Cricetulus griseus: one gene and its partner. The protein of the gene in region 1 interacts with the protein of each later gene in a pairwise test. Links are inferred from orthologs where the notes say so. Each region holds a gene or a part of one and is shown on either strand. Other genes may lie near its edges.

What was found. The genes of interacting proteins can lie anywhere in the genome.
Region 2: the proteins of Homer3 (region 1) and Pax6 interact in binary tests that used the Homo sapiens proteins (3 or more experiments, as listed by UniProt). The link is inferred for Cricetulus griseus from reciprocal best matches to the Homo sapiens genes HOMER3 and PAX6.

The regions. Positions count from the first base shown.
Region 1 is NW_023276806.1:248,684,376-248,688,120, reverse strand, and holds the start of Homer3 (homer protein homolog 3), read left to right. Parts: upstream 1-1,121; 5' UTR 1,122-1,260; intron 1,261-2,619; 5' UTR 2,620-2,687; coding exon 2,688-2,701; intron 2,702-2,811; coding exon 2,812-2,968; intron 2,969-3,306; coding exon 3,307-3,438; intron 3,439-3,745. UniProt on the Homo sapiens protein: Postsynaptic density scaffolding protein. Binds and cross-links cytoplasmic regions of GRM1, GRM5, ITPR1, DNM3, RYR1, RYR2, SHANK1 and SHANK3.
Region 2 is NC_048599.1:72,004,569-72,008,313, reverse strand, and holds the start of Pax6 (paired box protein Pax-6), read left to right. Parts: upstream 1-1,398; coding exon 1,399-1,408; intron 1,409-3,745. UniProt on the Homo sapiens protein: Transcription factor with important functions in the development of the eye, nose, central nervous system and pancreas. Required for the differentiation of pancreatic islet alpha cells.

The sequences.
Region 1 (3,745 bases):
TCTGCCTGACTGTTCCTCTCAAGTGCTGGGGTTAGAGGTGTGTGCCACCATTACTAATCCGTGGTGCTGGGGTGGAGCCCAGGGCTCCGTGGAAGCTCGGCAAGAGCTCTCCACAGTGAGTTGCAGCCCCCCACCCACACACCTGTATTGGGGAGCAGGGTTCAAGCTGAGGGTCCAAGACATTTTATTTTATTTTTTTTCTGTTTTGGGGGACAAGGTCTCACTGTGTGACCCAGTCTGGTCTCAGCCCCGGGGTGCGGGAATGTCACAGTGAGACAACCCGTCCAGCTAGGTCTAGAACCTGCTACTAGACTCTGGCAATACCCATTGAGCACCTACTGTATGCAGCCCACGAGCAGCCACACGCTGTCCTCCTCAGCCTCATCTCGCAGCCCTACAGCGTCAGCGGCCAGACCCCAGTTAACCAAGAAGCCACCTGAAGGCTCCAGGGCCACCCCTGGTAAGAGGCAGGAAAGCAAGGGGTCACTGTCCACTCATTTCCTGTGTCTCTCGCTATCTCCGGGTCTCTGGCTCATCCAGGATGTCCGCTGCTGTCCACACACCCTGCCCCGATACACCCACCAACACCCACCCTGTCTTCGCAGCCTCCAGCCCATCACCCTGGGCTCTGACCCACGGCCCCTCCGGACAGGCTCTCCTGTGCCCCTACCCTCCACGCCCTTCTCCAGCCCGCCGCCCTCACCCCTGCCACCTTCCACCTCTTCCCTGTCTCCAAGAAGCTCCGCCTTCTTTTCCGGCCCCTGCCTCTAATCCCTTCTGCTCCAACCCCCTGATCCCATGGGCCCCTCCCTCCCGGCCCTCCAAAGGCCAGCCTTCCCTGCGCCTTCTCTACCCTGTCCCCCTCAGCCCTCCTCGCCCTGCGGTCCCCTCACCCTGCCTTCCAGTCCCCACTCCTTCCCAGGCCCCGCCCTCCGTCCCCTGCCCACCTCACCCCCGCTTCTTCCTTTTGCTCCCTCCCTCTGCCCCCCCAGTCCCTCCTCCTGGCCTCCTGGTGCCCTCCTCCCCTTCTTCTGCCCCTCACCCCATCCCTTTCCCCCCGCTTCGCCCTTGCTGGTTGCCCTCCCTGCTCCCTTCTGGGCTCTCCTCCTCCTCCCCGCCCTCGGACGCTGGCCGGCAGGGGGCGCTGTGCAGAGGCGGGGCGGCGCGGGGACTGGCCGCGATGGGACCGGAGGCGGCGCAGACAAAGGCGCGGGTAGCGAGGGGCGCGCGGAGGGAGCGGGCCGAAGGCGGCGGCGAGGGGTGAGCCGGACCGACAGGGGCCCAGCTCCTGAGGCGCGATCGGGGCGCGGGGGGCGCAGAGGGCTCGGGAGCGCAGACGGTTTCCAAAGTTGCGGGCTGTGCGGCGGGGCCGGGGCCGGGGCGCTGAGGGGTGCGGGCTGAAGGGCCGGGGTCCTGGGGCGCGGGGCGCAGTGCACCGGGTCCCCCAGCCCCGGCTCCAGGTGTGGGAGGCGCCGAGTCGCGAGCTCTGCCGCTTGGAAAGTTGCGGGTCGGCGGCTCCGGGAGGGGGGCGCAGGGCTGCCCGGCGCGGGGCTTGCGGCAGGAGCCCCACGGCGCGCGGGCGTGATCCCCTGCCCCGCGCCGCCGCTGCGAGGCGCGTGACTTCTTGGTGAGTAACTTTTCCCGACCTCAGCAAGTCCCGGCAGGAGCGGCCCGACCGGAAGGGCCTGGGTTCGGGGACCCCGTCTCCCCAGTCTCCGCCAGTCCTAGTACTTATCCCACTCGAGTTCAGCCGCCCCTCCCCCGCATGGGGGGCTCCGGTTTCAGACCCCGTGACCGCACCACAGCAGCCGCTGCCCGCGGCAGCATGGGGCAGCCCTGGCCTCCGGAGCCTGGCCCTGCATCCGCAGGACCCTCCCAGTCTTCTCGAGTGCAGATTCGGGGGTTCAGGAGGGTATCCAAAACTCAGGGAAGCCCCCTTCTCTCAGTCTGGTTCTCTGCTCCCATCGTGGGGACTGGGACGAGTCGCTTGCCTTCTGTCTCATCCTCCACAGTGCTGGTAGGATGACATTTGCCACCAAGACAAACTTTCATTTTACCGTTTAAATAGGCTAGGGCTCCCTGGCCTCGACTTGGACTCCAAGGTGTAGCCTTGCCCTCGGGGTGTATGCTAAGCCGCCCTTTGGTAGGAGCAGAGGGTCCTGAGTTCCCTGTCAGGCCCTGAAAGTACTCCACTTTTATTCTCAGAGATGGGGATCTGGCAGTGATGTCCAGGGGTGGCCTTGAACTCCGAGGCTGCATGCTCTAACTGCCGTGGCCTCCTGAGTAGATGGGACCCCTGGCTGCCACCACTGATTCAGCTGTGTCACACTTTTTGATGCTAGGCCCTCTGCGGGCTGTTGGATGGGAGGGGGAATAAAATGTCCTACTCACTTGATCTCGGTCTCATGCCCAGTTCCTGTGGGAAGAGACTTTCCCAGTGGCTGGTAACCTGGACAGTGAGTATGTGATTCAAGTGATTCAAGGCCAGCTTGGGCCGAGACTGGTGGTGGCTGTAGGAAATGCTCTGATTCCTTCCTTCCTGCTTTTGTGAAGGAAGTCACCTGGAGGACCTGCCCTGAACATCCCTGGGTCCTTGCTCACAAGCCCTTCTCTCCCCAGAGACCAAACAAGAGGCTCCTGTCACCTCTCCGAGTACCCCTTAGAGGCCACCCATCCCAGCCTGACCAATGTCCACAGCCAGGTGAGCACCCACCCACTCTGGTCAGGCCTAGCCCTCTGGGTGGCCAGCCCCCTACAGAACTTCTGTCATCCCTGTCCCGTCCCCGTCTCCCCCCCCCCCCCCCCACGCAGGGAACAGCCAATCTTCAGCACCCGGGCACACGTGTTCCAGATTGACCCCACTACCAAGCGGAACTGGATCCCCGCCGGCAAGCACGCACTTACTGTGTCCTATTTCTACGATGCAACCAGAAATGTGTACCGAATCATCTGCATCGGGGGTGCCAAGGTCTGAGCAGGGTCCTGGGGGCAGGTGCTGGCCCCATGACGTGCCGCCACAGGGCCAGGCTGCGCGACTTGTGCAATGGGAGCCTTTAGAGGGCTAGACCTCAGTGGGCTCTCACTGGGGGAATTCTAGGCAGGGGATCAGCCCATAGCTATGCCTCTGGGGGATTCTGGGTAGGGATCGTCTACTGAGACAGGTGCCTAGAATTATTTTTTAATCCACTATGTAGTCCAAGGTTGGCCTTAAACTTTAAATACTCCTCCCTCAGGCCGTGAGGCTGGCTGCTCATGGTGGTCTTTATCACTCCTGCTAACCTTGAATCTTGTTTTCCCCACCCCCAGGCCATCATCAACAGCACAGTCACCCCCAACATGACCTTCACCAAAACCTCGCAGAAGTTCGGGCAGTGGGCAGATAGTCGAGCCAACACTGTCTATGGCCTAGGCTTTGCCTCTGAACAGCAGCTGACCCAGGTGGGCGGGGACATGGGCGGTGATTGGCATCTGTGTTCCTTGGGGTAGGTTCACAGATAGCGAGACCCCTTGCGTGCCCTGGGTAGTGGTCATTTGCCACCTTGCTCCAACTTTGCACACTCCTTGTGCCTCTTAGGGGCATCAAATGGAACCCTGGACTGAGCACATCCTCCTGCTCCAGGGGCACCTCTCTCTCCAGCTTCTGTCCACTAGTTTTCAGATTTATTTTTGTTTGTGTTTGTGTATATTTGTGTATGCATGTGACATGAGTGTGCTGATGTCTGCAGAGGTAAGAGGGTGGCACTAT
Region 2 (3,745 bases), on another chromosome or scaffold:
GAAGAGTCCATCTTTTCCCTTTGTGAGTTGGAGAGTTGTGGTTCCTTTGCTTGGACCTGGTGTTGCTGGTTTGAGAGTCTCAGCTTTGCTCTTTGGGTTTGGGGAAAGCTGCGGAATAGAAGCCATTGTTCGGTGTCTGTAGACTTTGTAGACCGTGTTCACCCCCTCCTGTTTGTAGTTTTTAAAGCAGTGAGGCGAGGTAGACAGCAAGTGTCACAGTACAGGAAAGGAGAGAAAGAGCTAAACACTAAAAGCAAAGTTAATTACAATAAATGAGGTTTAGGGTAAAAAGTTGGGCTCACCACTTGCTAAGTCCTGAAAGAGCTGAGAGATTGGTTGTGGGGGTCTGACCAGAAGACTTTGGGGGTAGGGTGGGGGGAGTGAAGGATAAAAGAGTAACTAACCAAAGAACTTAAGTTCTAGGGATCTTGGGACAACTGAGGTGCTGAAATTCCTTAGGAATGGAGGGAGTCTGGTCTGAGGCTCACTCCCGAGACTTCTCTAACCCAAGCGGGCGCTCAGGCACCACCAAGACCTTAAGATTCCTTTCACCTCCACACTTCAGGGGTTAGTTGCTTTCCTTACCCAGTTCGGTTTCTACTCCACTCTTGGCTTTTCGGATTTAAGCCCTCCTCTTTCCCTGGTGCTTATTAGTTTTGCAAAGCGAGACCACAACTCTAGTCTCCCCAATTCACCCAACCAAGCCTAGCCAAAGCACCGTTTCCGAAGGATGTTGGTGTCTGTAGGAGAGGCCACTGCAAGTGTGACGCCTTAGTGTTTCCAAGCAGAAGGAGCCAACCCTGGATTCACTGTGGGTTGAGAGTGGGCCTCAGACTACCAGTCAACCTATGTGTTGGGGCCAAGCTGACATATACCTTTCTTTCCCTCTGTTTTATCTCAGGCAGAAGACTTTAACTAGAGGTGAGCAGATGTGTGAGATCTTCTATTCTAAGAGTGGACATACATCTCAGTTTTCAGGCAAGTTCTATGATGCTGTTTGGGGCTTCACATTCTGAAAGAGTTTTTTAAAAAACCATAGTTCTGGTAGACCCCCCCCCCAAAAAAAAAACTGGGATCATCGTTTGTTCTGATTAAAAGGCTAAGAACAAAAATATTTGAGGAAACTGATTGTGAATGTTAGATTATTTTATCCGTAGCTCCCAAAGTACATTTTGCATGCATAGGAGAACAGGGCTAGCTGACCCTCAGATCGCCCCAAGCGGTTGAGTAGCTCAATTTCTAAGAAAAGGAGGAATCTCCAGTGCAGGCACCACCAGGTCTTCCTCAGTAGGAGTGCAGGCCTACCTGTGCAAAGCCGGGGATTAACTCCAATTTTCTTACTAACAGAGCCCCGCATTCGAGCCCCGTGGGACCCGGAGGCCGCCAACCAGCGCCAGCATGCAGAACAGTGAGTGTCTCGGGTCTTTCCCTGGACTCTTGGGCTGGAGGCGTGCCGACCGGTTAGGGGGGTACACAGAGTCTTGGGCCCTGGGGACTCCAGGCCACTGGGCGAGAGGGAGGAGGCCTGGGGAATTTATTTGGGCTGCACGCGTTGAGTGCCAAGTAGCCAGCGAGGGAGGGTAGGGAGGCATTTGCTCTGCTGTGCTCTAGAAGGGAAGAAGCTGGGGCTCTTCAAAACTACTGGCCCGAGTTTTTGAAGCTGCGGTGGAGAAACCCCATCCCCCCAAATCCTGTAACTCATACCCCCTCCCCGCCCCTGCCCGGGCTCTGACCCCAGAGAGGGGGGCTGGGCTGAGTAGGGCGGGGCAAAGGCTTCTCCTGAGAAGAGAAGGAGGCCCCTTTGGGCTTGGCCAAGACTGAACATCTCCTACGACCCTGAGGGGTGTGTGTGTTGGGGGGCCTTCCCTCCCCTAGTCAATCTTAGGCCAGCTCCTCCCCTCCCCTTCCCCCCCTAGCTATAGGCCTAAAAGGGAAGGGGAGTGGAGCACCCAGGGCCAGTGATGGGGAGACCCCCCCAGCCCCGCATAAGGTGTTGAAAGCAGGGTTTATTGGGGCTGGTCAGGAATTGGGAAAACCTTGCACTAGCAAGTGCAGCTACGTGGGTCCTCGTTGATCCAGTCTCTTAGTACCTTTGATTCCACAGCCTTTGTGCCTTTCTCTAACCTTTGGCCAGGCCCTTTGGGGCCTAACCTTTCTGCTTAGCCAATGGCTGCTGGTATATGACAGAGTTAAGCCAAAAAAAAAAAAAAAAAAAAAAAATTCAAGCCTGGCAGCTAGTGAAACTAGGCCGGGTTAGGGTTAGGGAGTCTACACAGGCTTAAGGATACAACTGTGCTTGGGCGTGTAGAGAGGCCTAGGTCTTCTAGAAACATGCAGTTATGGAGCTGTACTGGCTTAATAGAGTTCCCAGCAGCTCGGGTCCACGTTCTGTAATAGCTGGCTGCCCTGATGATGCCACAGGATGGGGTGGGGGGGCTAAACTCAGGAAAGAGATCAAAGATGGGTGCTTTGCAGCTGTGTTTCTACAGAACCTGTCAGATCCTAGGGCTTGGCCCAGGAGGCACTTTCCTTGGCGAAGCGAATACCATGGAGCTCTGACTCTCTTGCCTTAGGTTTTCAGGTGGGCAGAGGCGCTCAGCCACAAGCGTTTGCCCCTCCACCATGACCTGGCTGGCAGGCCCAGAGGGGCACGGGTCGCGGGTTGGCCTGTAGGCTTTGTGTGGCTGGTTCCCGAGTGTGCGCAAGGCGCAGAGCATCCAAATTGACACCATATGTTTTCCTATTAGAAGCTTTGCGGTCGAATTCTAGGCGCATAATCATCGCCACTGGGCGAGAACGCCAGCAGTCCCTAGGGAAGGGACACAATGATTGAGGCTTAACCTCTAAAGGGGAATTTAGAGCTATGTTTCCTCGCTGCCATTTCGATGCTGGCAGAGGCACCCTGGCCCAGTGTCTCTCGGACCAGCACATGCGGGCTGCAGCTGTGGAGGTACTTACTGGCCACGTTATTTTTGCAATAAAGGAGGAGGAAAAAAAAATCTACGATTAGAGGCCTTGTATGCTCTAGCATCTGTAGACTAGGAATTATCCTGGCTGCTGCTTGGAAAGTTTCTCTGAGATGGCCTTTCCTTTTTGAGAAGGTTTGCCCAGAGACCGGCCTCCATAAATTGCATGGTAAATGAGACTTAGAAAACCAACGTGGACGATAAAGAAAATTAAAGAGAAACCGGAAGCGCAGGGTAGGCCTTGCTATGTTGGAGAAGCGACCTGTCTCCTGCAATGTGCAATGTACCCTCTTGCACTGGCCCGGCCCGGCCGGAGCCCAGATCCCTAAACGCCTGTCACTTCTCATCCAATTGAGGCCCCGCCCCCCCTCGGTGAGCTATAACCCCCCTCCAGCCCCAAGCCTCGGGCTACCCAGAAAACGCAGCTCCCCTCGAAGGGGAGACGAGTACAGTTCATTCTCGTCTGAGTGATCTACAAATAGGGACGGAAAGGGTCGTTTTATCACGGTCCCGTTTGTCGTGACGATGCAATTTCCCGGAGCGGAGCACTGTCACAAAGTGACAAGGCTGCCACAAGCGCCCCGACTGATCTTTTCAATTAGCCTTCCATGCATGATCCGGAGCGACTTCCGCCTATTTCCAGAAATTAAGCTCAAACTTGACGTGCAGCTAGTTTTATTTTAAAGACAAATGTCAGAGAGGCTCATCATATTTTCCCCCCTCTTCTATATTTGGAGCTTATTTATTGCTAAGAAGCACAGGCTCTTGGAGTCAATTTA